Linked DNA regions of Rhinolophus ferrumequinum. The protein of the gene in region 1 interacts with the protein of each later gene in a pairwise test. Links are inferred from orthologs where the notes say so. Each region holds a gene or a part of one and is shown in the gene's direction. Other genes may lie near its edges.

What was found.
Region 2: the proteins of PNMA1 (region 1) and TNNI1 interact in binary tests that used the Homo sapiens proteins (3 or more experiments, as listed by UniProt). The two-hybrid records come from large-scale screens. The link is inferred for Rhinolophus ferrumequinum from reciprocal best matches to the Homo sapiens genes PNMA1 and TNNI1.

The regions. Positions count from the first base shown.
Region 1 is NC_046289.1:24,573,704-24,580,187, forward strand, and holds PNMA1 (paraneoplastic antigen Ma1), read left to right. Parts: upstream 1-4,073; 5' UTR 4,074-4,157; coding exon 4,158-5,219; 3' UTR 5,220-5,969; downstream 5,970-6,484.
Region 2 is NC_046310.1:929,078-937,036, forward strand, and holds the start of TNNI1 (troponin I, slow skeletal muscle), read left to right. Parts: upstream 1-4,959; 5' UTR 4,960-5,046; intron 5,047-7,574; 5' UTR 7,575-7,591; coding exon 7,592-7,602; intron 7,603-7,959. UniProt on the Homo sapiens protein: Troponin I is the inhibitory subunit of troponin, the thin filament regulatory complex which confers calcium-sensitivity to striated muscle actomyosin ATPase activity.

The DNA.
Region 1 (6,484 bases):
CTAAGGACAGGTACTTATCCCTTTTCTGCTTGCTAATAGCCTTCTGGGGCTGGAAAGTTTTCTCTGATGTTTGGGGAAAGGGCCAATGTCCCTGTCCAAGCTCTCAGCCTGCTGGAGGTAAGGAAACTGCTGAGGATGGAAGCTCCAGGGCTAGGCCTGAGGGAGCTTTTGATGAGCCTTGGATCTTCCTACTTCCCACCTTTTTGCCAAATACTTTGGGCCCTGGAAGCTGCTAAGGGAGCTTAGCCCAGGCCCAGCCTGCCCCTCCTTGGTGCAAGTTCCCTGCCTGCTTCTGTCCTGCCCTTAGCAACTGTCACCTAACCCCACCCCACATGGTCTCTGCTGATAGCCACAGCCCAGCCCCCAGTCCTACATGCTGGAGATTTCTGGATCCTTCCCTGGGAGGGGGAGGTCTCCTAACCAGATTGGACAGGAGCCTTCATTTCTTGACTTGGGTCATTTGGGAGCTATTTATTTATTCTTAATATTTAATTTTTAACATCCTCTCAGGGACCAGGGGCCTCCTGCTTTTCAGAGGCCCAAGTGCATTTATCCCAAAACAAGGCACCTTCTTGTCATCTCCCCGCCCCCCGCTCCCCCCATTCCCAAGACCCTAAGGTCCCTCACCTTGTTGCTCTGGAACTTCTTGCCAGTAGAATGATAGTAACACTGAAAGGATGGGAAGGTGGAAGTTGTCACCAAAGCCACATACAGACTAGGAGGAGCAAGGGACATCAAAGGCACTTCTTGTTGCTACCTCTTCTCTGTCTGTACTTTCAAATTGCCGGAGGGGATGGCTAGAAGCCAGAAGTCTGGTTTTGTTTTTGGCTTGAAGTAGCCGTATTTGGCATGGAGTTCACTGGAGTGAAAGGGCTGGAAGGTTTTGGAGGCCCCTTCCCTTGCCAGTCCCACAGGAGGGCTGAGTTATTTTTCTGATCTTGTTACTCAATTTTAGTTGTGTAAAAGAACCTCTAAGTGAGTGCAAGTAGATATATGACAAGTCAACCTGTTAGGAAGGAGCCAAAAAGTACTCATTCTGCTACTCCTTTTGAGATAGCTTAAAGCATCATGTTGGTAGCCGGGAGTGGAAGGCTGTTTTGTTTCTAAACTATGCACTATCGGGTATTTTTCAGCATTCATTTAATGCATTAATATGGTCCTACAGGACCCCAGCTATGGGAGCAACAAAATTCTAACCCAGTTAATTTCTTCTATAAGCTCGTTAAGTTCAATACCCCAAGATTGCAAAAATCTGGTATACACTCCAGAAAACAGAGAGGTAGCAAATTTAGGCTCTTTTCTAAATCACTTGTGTAATCTGAGTGCCTTCACAGCTTTGCCCCAAAGTGCTACTTATGTTTCCCAAGGTTTTTTCTATTTAAATTGTGTTTAGTTTCAGGCCCCTTTATGAACATGTAACAGAAACCTCCTTTGTCTAGAGTGATTCTCCTTTTCTAAGCTCATAGGAGACCAGACCAGGTGAATGTAGGTAGAGTACATCAAGATGACACCTCTCTGTATAAATCCCACCAGACACCGTATTTTAGAAGGGTTCATGTTCCAGGATAGACATATCTAGAATGCAGTGTGAGAGTTAAAAATGTTTAGAGGGCAAATGCAATTGTGGCAAGTAACGTGCCAATTAAGTAGGTGCAGCCATAGCAGCTGGCATAGGTATATTTTTTATGGTGCTTTCTCCCGGTGAACATATTAGGCTCATCTTTTGTTTCTTCTTCTATTCAGAGCTCTTTGCTTTAAGAAGTTAAATGACAAAACATCTCCAGCTTTATAATGTCCTCCCCACACCATCTCACATAGCCATCTCCCAGCCTCCATCTGCACTCAGTTAAGGGCATGAAACTAACTTAGTGCCTGTGTTCCAGACCATTTCTGAGGTCTCTTACCCACCCAAGGAGATAGTGCTTCAGCACTGTCCTCCATGCCTTCAGCAGCCCCCCTCACAGATAATGTACCCACCCATCCCTTCTGCCACCCCATCCCCACCCCTGGCACAGAGGTCGTGTGCTGCTTATGTCTAAAGGTATCCCCTATATTTAACTGCCTCAGTGACCTAACCTCTTTCTTCTCATGTGCCAGATGCTAAGATGAAGGAGGAATACAATACATACTCAAGCCCCAGCTGTTTAAATGTTTTTACTGGGGCTCACTTTTCTCGGATGGTATTTATTACCAGACTGGCAAGCCTAACTCCTTAGGTTTACAGGAAGTATACATATTTTTATAAAACAATTGTATGTCCTCCACATATTTTGCTGTGTTAATATTTGCCTCTAACAATTTGCAGCTGTTTCACCTTTTCCTCATTTGTCTCTAAATTGAAGGCCTTGTTGGAGAGAACAGAGCACAGGAACAGCTTTGACAGTCTGTAATTATTGTACAAATATTTTAATAGCATATAAATAAGTATATTCCTTTTATTTTGGAAAAAAATGAACAGACACTGCCTTTTGTGTGTTTGCTGCCTGTGGCACCCTTTTTAAAAAAGACTGTTACATGTTAAAATAGTGTACATATATATATAAATATTACCTCTTTTGCTGTACAGTTGTGATAGACCAGACGGAAGATTTTATTTTTTGTGTGCTTTTTATATAAAAAAATTAATACACTAAAGAAAATCTTGCTGATGTGATTGTAATGTACCTATGTAACTTATTTACTTTTGAATGTTCTTCTGTATCTTTAAACCTTTTATTACATAAGGTTTTAAAAATTCAGAGTTGAATGATGTGTTCTTTTGGGGAGATTTTCACCATCTGGGATTGACGTAAATAGGCCTTGTTTTGCTTGCAGAGGATTACTCGACATATTTGAACCATAAGGATTCTGTTTTATCAGCCCATTGTCAATGATGCCAGGACTGGACATTAACACATTAGCGTTTTCCTGGCTATAGAAATTACTAAATTGACATGGATTTTTTTAACAAAATGTTAGACAAGTCTCAACCCAGTGTCTCACAAAAACACATGTAAATGTCACATTTCCAACATTCATTGGGATGAAATATGGAGGGTACAGATGTGATCAGGTGGCACAGGGAAGCCTCGGGGCTGAACAGGGTGTTTTCATATGTAACATTGACTGTACGAACGACCTGAGTAGACAAGCCTGCTTTGACGGATGCATTTTCAACAGTATCATCTTAAATCCACTCCAGAAGTATATCACTATCTTAAACACGGTGCTCTGAAAAAAAAAAATCTGGAAAATATTAAAAAGGCAATGCGCCATCAGAGAAACCAGTGCCTGCAGCCCCTGGCTGGCACCATGGCAACCGCTCGACCGCACTGGCCGCCTGAGCGCGCGGATCTCGCGTCGTCTGGGCCACCGTTGCCATGGCTACACAGGAGCTAGCTGGGCCGCGGGGGCGGAGCGGGAGGAAGCCACTCGCCCGGCCGGCCCCGCCTTCCACTGCCGCAGTATCTCCTCGGCTGGCTGCGGGTCCGACTTGGGGGCAGCAGCGGCGCGCAAGCCCGCCACAGCCTGCGCCTCCGTGCCTGTGTCCTCGGTCCTCGGCTGTCCTCGCCGCCCAGAGGGACCCCTGCACCCGCGAAGAAGCCGCTCGCGAACTGGCCCTGCCGCCGCTGCTGCGACCACAGGACAGTCTCCCTCCAGGAGCGGCAGAACCCTCGTCTGCAAAGCAGCCGCCCCTGAGCCGACTGAAGGCCCGGCTCTGATCGCGAACGCCGGCGCGATCAACTCCTGCAGCAGCGACTGCCCGGCGCGCCCGGGCGGCTTAGAGGAGGCGGCCACACCCCCGCGACCACACCCCGGCGGCCTCTCCAGCCCGACAGCTTCAGCCTCCGCCGCCCGCCCTGGCTCCAGGCCTTCTCTTGCAACGCGACACCATATGTGCAGGTGGAGGACCGGGGCCGCGGACCCCGACCTGAGACGCAAGATGGCCGCGGCCGCGTGACTGAGCATTCCAGAGGCTTTGCTGCGAGAACGCGCCGACCACCGACTTTAGGGGGCAGCGAAAGGACGAGAGCGGGACTCTGGTGTCATTTGCTAATTGTGATTGCATGAAGCATATTGGGTGAAAGGGGAGTGTCTGCTGTTGTCCTAAGCCCTAGAGCACAGGGAGCCACAGTCTAAACCGTATTTGTAGGATTGGGCTCTTGATAGTTGGGAAAATGGCGATGACGCTGTTGGAAGACTGGTGCAGGGGGATGGATGTGAACTCCCAGAGAGCCCTGCTGGTGTGGGGGATCCCAGTGAACTGTGATGAGGCTGAAATCGAAGAGACCCTCCAGGCTGCGATGCCCCAGGTGCCCTATCGAGTGCTTGGGAGAATGTTCTGGAGGGAAGAGAATGCGAAAGCAGCCTTGTTAGAGCTCACGGGCGCTGTCGATTACGCGGCCATCCCCAGGGAGATGCCAGGTAAAGGAGGGGTCTGGAAAGTGGTCTTTAAGCCCCCGACTTCCGATGCCGAATTTTTAGAAAGGTTGCACCTCTTTCTAGCGAGAGAGGGGTGGACCGTGCAAGATGTTGCCCGTGTCCTTGGGTTTCAGAATCCTGCTCCGGCCCCAGGCCCAGATATGCCAGCAGAGATGCTAAACTATATTTTGGATAATGTTATTCAGCCTCTTGTTGAGTCCATATGGTACAAGAAGCTGACGCTGTTCTCGGGGAGGGACATCCCGGGGCCTGGGGAGGAGACCTTTGATCCCTGGCTGGAGCACACCAATGAGGTCATAGAGGAGTGGCAGGTGTCTGATGTGGAAAAGAGACGGCGGTTGATGGAGAGTCTTAGGGGCCCTGCCGCTGATGTCATCCGCATCCTCAAGACTAACAACCCTGCGATAACCACCGCCGAATGCCTGAAGGCGCTTGAGCAGGTTTTTGGAAGCGTGGAGAGCTCTAGGGATGCGCAGGTCAGATTTCTGAATACTTACCAGAACCCAGGAGAAAAGTTATCGGCTTACGTCATTCGTCTGGAGCCTCTGCTGCAGAAGGTGGTGGAGAAAGGGGCCATAGATAAAGATAACGTAAACCAGGCCCGCCTGGAGCAGGTCATTGCCGGGGCCAACCACAGCGGGGCCATCCGAAGGCAGCTGTGGCTGACTGGGGCTGCGGAAGGGCCAGCTCCGAACCTCTTCCAGTTGCTGGTGCAGATCCGCGAGGAGGAGGCCAAGGAGGAGGAGGAGGAGGCTGAGGCCGCCCTCCTGCAGTTAGGCCTAGAGGGGCACTTCTGAGCCCCAGGAAACCGAGCTGTAGTGCAGACCTAGATCACAGCGCTTTTGTCTTGTCTGTGCTCTCTTTTACGCGTGTCTTAGTCAAGTCCTGTTTTCTGGGGGGAAGTCGGGTCTGGGTATTCATGCTAACATTAGTAAACTCATGCAAGCGAGCACCTTGAGCGGCCGCAAGTGAGTCCTAGCTAAATGCCCGGTAAAATGCCGGACCCGAGAGCTCAGTGCAAGCTGTCATCGTGGCATCATCAATTGTGAAAAACATGTGAACTTGTGACACTTCTTATCGAGGTACTTAAATTGCATGTTCAGATGTTTAGCCCAGAGCCTGGCTAACACAAGAAGTGTTCAGTGAAAATACGAACTATTGTTACTAATATCGTGAATGGTTTTTGTGTTTACTGTAAATTGTTCCTGATTTATATTAATGGGAAAAATGTGAATTAATTAGATGTTATCATTCCACTTTACAGTGCTAATTATTTTTCATCTTTAAACATCTGGAACAGTATAATTGAAAAGTATTCTGAGACTACAAAATGGGGTGTTAGAAAAATACTGCAGTTACAGAGCTGTGTAAATTAGAAGTTTTCACTGTACAAGATACAGATATAAATCGCATGGGGAGGTTAATATGAACCGGCTAGAGTATCCATTTCAAATCTTTGTCATTGAATAGTTCTTATTCATGCTGATTGTGTTCTAAATTTGAAGTTATCAAATACATGTATACGAATAAAAATATTTAAAAAATTGTATTGTCTGGTTTTTCTGACTTACAAAAATTTCAGTTCAATTAAAGTCTGAATTCTTTTCAGACTTCACCATGTCACTAAAAAAAAAATCGAACCTCAGTTATTTTATCTTTAAGCTTTATATAATAAATACTATGTAAATTTAAACTGCAGTACCTTTTAATGTATTCTATTTTTGCTTGTTTTCTACAAGGCAAATGTTCGGAGGCTCAGTAGATATAAATAAATATTAGCCTATAAAATGTTAGGAAATCCTACAACGGCATTTAGGAGGTTATGTATCAATGCTCTTTCTCCCCTTTTAAGTCCATTTTCAGTTAAAAATGTTTTGCTGCAGGAATTATATGATAACTTCATACCTGTGTAAAATGAATGTCTCAGTTTTACAGCAGCCATTTTATATTGAGGATATAAAAAGGAAAATAAGGCTTAAAAATATGCTTATTTGGCTGCAGAGATTCAGTGACTAAAGATGTCCATCTTTTGAGATCCTACTAAATCCAGAAGTGATTACAT
Region 2 (7,959 bases), on another chromosome or scaffold:
GATCTAGTTCCCATCTTTTTTTTTTTTTTTTTTGGTACTTTCTGGAAAATTTCTTCAACTTTATTAGCCTTCTACTGAATGTTTTATTGTTCCTATCATATTCCTATTTTCCAAGAGGTATGAAATGTGATCAGACAATATGATGAATGTTTAAATTAAAAAAACCTTATTCCAGTAAAGGACACATTGCCATTAATCCCCCTCAGAAGACCCCCCCCTCGCTTCAAACACCCTTATCCCATGTTCTTACCACTTTCTGAAGCAGTTCTGGAAGTCCTCTTTCGAGAGTGTCTAGTTGCGCTGTCGTGGCTGCCTCGATGTCCTGAATCATTTTGACTTTGGGGAAGAGCCAGAAGTCACAGATCTCGTGAATAAATTGGATGAGGGCACACCGTAATTTTTTTGTTGGACAGAAATTGCCATACCAGAAGAGAGGTGTTTTTATTTAAACATTTGCTGTATTGTTTGATCACACCTTGTAGTCGGTAGATCACAAATAAGTCACATTCACATTTTGTCTCTGACACACACACACACACACACACACACACACACACACACACACACACGCGCGCGCGCGTGCGCCCTCTGGTGGACAGGAGCAGAACTTCACCTCCAGCTCCTGGGAAGAGGCCTATGGATGCCGAGTGTTCTCACTCGAAGACGCACACAGAGAAGGACCGAAATGAAAACCACAGTAGTTCCTTAGGAAAATTTCCCTAACTTGTCATTTTAGGGACATTTGATTAACTCACGACACCACACAATCCGCAGAGCTCGCTATGGTGGCCAATCCCACACTCGGTAGCTGGCAGATGAGGGGTTTCTCGACTGGTTCCTGTTACTCGCTGTCATTGACAGAATGAAAAATCAGACTTCATTTTTCTTTTTAAATTTTTATTGGGGAATATTGGGGAACAGTGTGTTTTTCCAGGACCCATCAGCTTCACATCAAGTCGTTGTTTTCAATCTAGTTGTGGAGGGCTCAGCTCAGTGGCCCATGTGGGAATCGAACCGGTGACCTGGGTGTCATGAGCACTGCACTCTAACCACTGAGCCAACTGGCCCCACCTCGGGTGGGTTCTTTGCTCTGCGTGATTCCAGGAACACTGCGTTGGTCGTTTGGAGAGTATCAGCGCTCCGAGCCATGCAGATCTTCCCAATGTTAACACATTCCATCCGTCATACAGTGGTTTGTGAAAAATCAGTCTTTAATATCACCGCCCATCGTATGGGAAGAGCCTGCAGGTCTGGGAGGCTGTCGCGCTCACATGGCAGATACGGATACTCTAAGATTTCCATTTTCTCTTGAAAGCTGGAATTTTATAAGTGGCCACAAATATGCTCGGTTGTTTCCCTTGAGAAACCAGGCCCACTTTGTTCATTTTTGAAAAAATATCTACTAATATTCAAGTCCAACTACCTATAGTTTTTCAGTCAGTCATTCTTTCATGTAAAAACGGAAAAGCAGCTGGAAGTGCTATGCTTCACACTTTGGTAGATGGCAGGGAGCTCTGTGCACAGCGACCATATTTACTAGAATAGGATGAGCCCTTTGCTTCCTCGGGGCACCCGTCCATAAACTGGCTTTTCTCCGGAGGGTGCATGGGGGGGCAACGGTGACTGCTGGCGCAGTTTGAGAAGAGACAGGTCTGTCCTGCTAGGCCAGACGCCATCCCATCTCCCGCTCTGGCTGGAGGGTGAATTCATTTCACCCCAGCCTTCTGAGCCCCTTTTGGTCCCCGGACTGTTCCAGTGGTTACCCCCTCAGTGTAGTCCTGTGTCAATGGTACCCTTTCCCCACTGGACCAACAGCGGGTGATCAAAGGGGAGGGTTTTGGGTTGTATTCTCCTACAGCCTGTGACAAGGAGAGAAGAGTTGGGCAGAGGTTGTGACCCATGTCTGCCTGGGAGTCTGTGCTGTGGTGTGGGAGGAACACAAGGAGAGGCCTTCTCTTTCTTGCCCTGAGAGGCAAGTGGCAGCTTCCCCACCCCCTCCCCCCCTGTGGAAAGGGCAGGGGCCCATGGAAGCCCTATCCTGGGAAGGGGGTTTGGAGTTGGGCAGAGGTTATCTCATGCTGGCGGGGGTCCTGAAGGGACTTCATTGGAACCTCTGATGAAGAAGGCCCCTCCTGAGCCGTTCCTCCCCAGACTCCTGCAGAAGAGCTATGGCGTGGGGCAGGAGTGTGAGGTGAGCGGAGAACGAGGGCTGCTGAGGTCTGGGGTTTGGTCAGAGAGGCATGGCGGGGGAGGAGAAAGCGAGCAGGGCCAGGGCCCTTTGTCTGTGTTGGTGCCTGTCCCCTGACATTCCAGGCTCTGGCCTGGACACTGGTGGAGGGGGTGGTCATAGCTCAGGGTGACCTGAGGGGCTAAGTTTAACATCAACAAAGGTCCAGCTGCCCAGCTGTTGTTTCTGTTTCAGTCTGAGAACATTGTTGGAGGGGACAGTTGTTCATCACCGATAACGTCAGCTTGTGGCTGTGACAACACCTCCCTCGGGGAGGGGGCAGCTGGTGCCTGGGCCTTCTGAGCACCTTGCCCCTATACCCTCAGCCATGAGCTCCCCAACCTTATTTCAGGACCCCCAGGGAGCAAGCAAGACGTCCTCCTGAGCCCTGAGAGGCAATTTCCTGTAGAGTCTTTGGTCAGAAGGCTCCTCTCTGTGTTGTCCATTCAGCTATTCAATGAGCATTTATTGAGCACCTACTATGTGTCAGGCACTGTGCCCCTTTTGGTCCCCTGCCTCTGTTCCAGTGGTTACCACCTGGGTGTAGTCCTGTGTCCACAGCGAGCTGGCCGCAGAGAAGAGCACGGAAGCCATAACCGGGCCCTGCTGACGGGGCACGTGCTCTGGGCAGCAGACACACCTGTGGAGACACACCTGTCTCCTGGGGACCTTGAGTGAGTTGCTTCACGTTCTGAGCCCCACTTCCTCTTCGGTGAAGGGGGCTGAGGACGGTGCCTGCGTGGCTCACGTTTGTCAGGCGATTGCCTCGTGCAGACAACCCCGTCTCAGCTCACAGCAGCCTGCTGAGGGGGACTGACTGCTACCCCATTTCACAGGGACAAACGGAGGCTCAGAGCCAGTGTCCCTGGTGGGTGGCAGAGCTTGTGCGACGCACCCTGTGCTGTGTCTCCAGTGCCACTGGCCTTCCTAGTGAGGCCCTTTGTGGCAGAGATTGAGGGGTGACGACTTTTTGGGTCTTTTCTTTGTTCCTTCTGCTCTAGCTCCCCAGCCCCCAGCCTAGCAACTGTGGGGGGCGGCTTCAGATGGGGTTGTGCAAGGCAGAGAGGGGCTGTGCTGGCTGTCACCAAGGCCAGGGCCCCGGCCGTGGGGGGAGGGGAGCCGGGAAGACAGATGCCCCTGCGCCTGGTCACTGGCTAATTTGGGCTCCTTGTTTCTCAGACAATGCCTGGCAGCGGGGCTGACAGGTGCCGGCCACTGAGGGGACAGGCCTGACTCCACAGCTATGGCCTTCTAAGGATTAGCTCTTCCAGCCGGACACATTCTTCCCTATCCTGGGAGGGGACTGTGGGACCTGGGGCAGGGGCCTGGCCCCACTCCGCCCCTGCAGAACTTGAGGAGGATTCCCCCACACACACACATGAGCCTCAGAGTCCGTGAGTCCCTGTGGTTTCTGCAGACGCGTCCTCTGGATGTATTCACGTCTGGACCACATTTTGCTCTTCTCTGTGTCAGTCTCCTCTCTGCTTTTCCTTTTCCAAAAGCAGTATAACCTTGCTCACAATTCATTCTTTTGTGCATATGAAGGTATTGTAAGAAAGTTCTTGCGTAAATTAAAAACATAAGCAATGCCACAAACCCCCGTGGACTCCGCCCCAGCCCCTGAATTCCTTCTCTGACCCCAGATGCGCCTCGGCTGCTGGCGGCCCTTACTTTCCATCCCCGCCCCTCCACCTGGAAGCCTGCGTCCCCGGCCACCACCATGACTTCCCAGACCTTGTCCCTTCTCCCTGGCAGCCTTCCAGAGTGGCGTCTCCCCAGGTTGACCTGACCCGAGCTGCAGTGTCCAGGGGGCAGGGCCTTGGCCCCTCCCTGGGCACGGTGGGGCTGTCGCCTTAGAACACCCGTTGCCAGCTCTCTCCCCCACCACACAGGGCACACGGTGGCATGGCGTGGCTTGCCAGGCCTCTCGCTGGCCTCCAGCGGGTCAGCATCCTGCTTGTCCTGGCCCAGCCGGCGCTCCTGGCCCACGAGGTGGCCGACGATAATAGCCACGGGATTAGCATAGTCGGCCTTGTCCTGCTCTGACTATAGGTGGGTATTATGTGTTCACCCACCATCCTAAAAATACCCCGTAAACAGGTGCAGCCCCGAGGGCACCAGCCCCCTGGGTTCTCTAGCACGCGGCTGGAGACAAAGGGAGGGCGGGAGAGGGGAGTTAAGTTCACTGACATCCAAGCCTGGGACGAGGGGTGCCATTCGGAACCTGGGAAGCCTTGATGCCTGGAACCCCAGCTGGAGAGGGGTGCAGAGCCCCTGCAGGCCCTCAGGCTTCCAGGAGCTGTTGCTGTGGCGTGGGCTCAGCAAAGGACCCTCTCTGCAGCACAGTTACGTCACCCCCGGGCACACGGGCACCAGAGCCACACGGGTCCCCCCCAAAGATCGGGGCGTGGGCTCGCGGCCTGATGTCCATGTCTCCCTGTAAGAGACGGAGGGTCGTGGAGACGTTCCCCGCCCCTCGCCCCTCGGCCCAGTGCCGTCACTGCTCTGGCCCCCTTGCGTCTTACTTCCCATCCTCTCCCCTCTCTGTCTCCCTGACTTGACTCAGGTGCTGGCCTCTCTGTGCACAGGATTTGCGTGTCCTCCTGAGCCTTGTGCACACGTCATCAAGCCCGTGGGCCCATTCCGTGTGCTGCGGTGCCTGCCCTGGGAGCTGTGCAGTGGGAGGGGCAGCGGCTCTGTGCTATTTTTACTGGCAGTTCCCATTGGCCATAGTTTTCATAGCCTCCCGTCAGCGCGGGCCCCAGAGTCTGCAGTCGCCTGCTGGACACCGCCCGCCCAGCTCACGGACACCAAACCAGGTAGGTGTCTGCAGCTCCGAACTTCAGATCCAGGTCAAGCCCAGACCGAGGTGCTAGGCTGGGGTTCCAGGAGAGCACGAGGGCTTGGAGGTGGGAGAAGGCATTTCTTGCCTGTACAATTGGATTTGTTGGCCGTAGAGTCCACGGTGTTATGTCCCATTGGGTGCCGCGTCTCCTGCCCCGAACTTTGCACAAGTTGCTCCAAGGGCCCAGGGCAGAGCCTGCTGGGCTCTGTCTTCACACTGGCAGCCCAGCAAGTCCCAAGAGGAAGAGACCACCTGGGGGAGGAGACGGCATGGGGGATCAAAGGGCAGGGCGGGGCTGCGTGTGGAAATTTAGGAAGAGCCTGGTGGGCAGCAAAAGGGAGCAATGCCTGCATCAGACAGAGAGAAGGTCCTCTGGCAAGCAGGACTCGGGGGCCTGGAAGACTGAACCCCAAGCCCCGCTGACCGCAGACATCTCTTGCTTCTTTTTCTTTGTCTCTGAGGGACGGGCTTGTCTCGCTTTGCCGTCCATCTGGACAGCAGGACAACAGCAGGTGAGGGCGAAGGCCCCCCTCCTCCCACCACTCCTGGCTCTGAGAAGCAGCAGGCAGATGGCGACAGCATCTGGGTTGGGGCATGCGAGTCTGCACACGAGTGCGGGCAGCTTCTGTGCTGGGCTCCGTGGCTGGGGGGGCGGGGGGGGGGGCTCAGGCAGTGCCTGCCAGCAGGTTTGAGATTAGGCTTTCCTGGTCAGAGCTCAAGATGGGTGTGTGGTGTGTGGTCAGCCAGGGAGGACCAGGGTGCCCTGGAACTGGACCCAAGGTCAGGGTGGGGAGCAGCGGGAGGCACACGAGCCTCACTTGAAATGTGTGTCCCCAATGAGCAGTGTGCAGAGAACACACACACACACACACAATCACACTCACACTTATATACGCGGCCTCTGTCCTGTTGGTTCAGTTGATACACCGCCCGCCCCACGGGGCCTCAAAGAAGGACAAGCCCAGCTCTGAGTCAAACCCCGGCCTCCTCTCCCGGCTGTGGGTCTGTGGTTATCTCCTTGCTGGCCCCTTTTGGGGGAGATGGAATGCCGGTCTCCAGCAGCCCATTTGCTGCTATCTACATCCTGACTTCTTATCAGGTCCCTGCTGTCTTCCACAGGACCTGTCAAGGGGTCCTGTCTGGTGGGTATCACAGCACAGGCTGGGGACCCCTTGGCCTGGCATTTGTCAGTGGGGCAGGCCCTGGAGCTTGGCAGGAGGCCTGGACTGGCCTGGGCAGGTGGGCCCCACACTGGTGATGGGGTTTCTGAGGCAGGCCTGAGTATGGCTACATGCCCACCAAAGATGAGGCACATCCTGGGGAAAGAGCCAGGAGGCCCACAGGGCTGAGACCCGGGACCCTTGGGAGGGCAGTGATGATGGATGGACGTCCCCGGGTGGTTCTTCCCCAGCTAGTGTTTCTTTTTTGATTTTCTCAGTATCTCTGGAGGAGCAGAGCCCTCAGAATAAACAGCTGGCGATAAATCTAATTTCAGCCAAGCATGCTGAGAATGTATAGATGGATGGACGCCCACTTCTCCCTCTGTGCCCAGGGTGACAGCTGAGACTCCAGGCCACCCCCCTCTTCTCCAGGCTGCACTCTCCCTGGTGGCAGAGGCAGAGGCAGGGCCCAGAGGGTCTCTGGTGGGAGATTCAGGAGGGAAGCCAGCCCTGCTCCTGGCGGGGCGGTGCTTCTTGGGCACAAAGGGAGAGGTGAGCGTTAAGGCAGAGGCAGGAGGTCACCTGGTCAGGAGGTGGCTCTGGAGTGAAGTTGCTAGAACCACTGCCTGCTCCCAACCAGGTTCTCGGACCAAATCCGGACGGCTGACCTGGTGCCCCGACCCCATGCACACTGGTCCCCACCCGGCCCTCATGACCCAGCGGCGGACTCCTGTCCTGCCCTGCACACCACCCCACGCCCCCCCCCCCCTGTGTCCAGGCCCAGGCAGGATGGCCAGTCAAGTCTGGCCCCACTGCAGCCTCAAAGACCCCCTCCTGGGCTGGGGTCCCCAACAGCCAGGACTAAAGGGTCCTCCCAGAGGAGAGGGCTCCTGTGGTAACCCTGTAACCAGTGCCGTCTGCTCTGGAGGATTGTCTTTTGCTTCCAGGTGACACTCAGTCTGGGCAAAGCTTTAAAGAGCTAAATGTTACGTGGCAAACTTCTCTAAGCCCTAATTTTGCAGAGGAAACGGGCCTGGAGGGGCAGGCTGAGGATCAGGGTAGAACACACTCGGCCTTGCCTCCCTGCTCACCCACTCCACGTGGGGCGTCCTCACGACCTCAGCCCAGACTCCCAGCCATGTGGCTCCCCGGAGACCAGCCCTGGGCACAGTTACACTGCGCGGAGCGTGAACGGCAGCCCCTGGAAAGATGCACAAGTGTTTATCCCACCCTGACCCAGGGGACCCATGCTGTCTGGTTTCTTCTTCCTGTTGCCTGAAGAACACACAGGGTGGGGGTGGGGCTGTAACTGTCCTCATGAATGATTCTCCTGTGCCCCCAGGTGCTGCGCCCACCGCCATGCCGGAAGTGTAAGTGGCCCCGCCCCACGCAGGTCCCCTCACAGCACATTCAGACCCAGAGTTCAGGCTCCATCTGTCCAACCTCCGAAGCCTTTCCCCGAAAGGCCAGACCCGAGAATAGGAACAGCTCCGAGTGCCTGCGTCCCCAGCGTCCCCACGCGTCCTCCCGGCGTCTGAGCAGAACTCACACTCCCAGGTCACCTGGGGAAGACCACCCTGGCCTGTTGTAGACTTTGTCCATCTGCACGGGTCCGATGAATCACGTGTGCCAGGCCGTGATGTAATGCTGGCCCCATGGAGGAACCATCCCCCACAAGCCCAGGGATGGAAGCTTCTCGCTGCAGAACCCCTGGCGAGGCTTCTCTG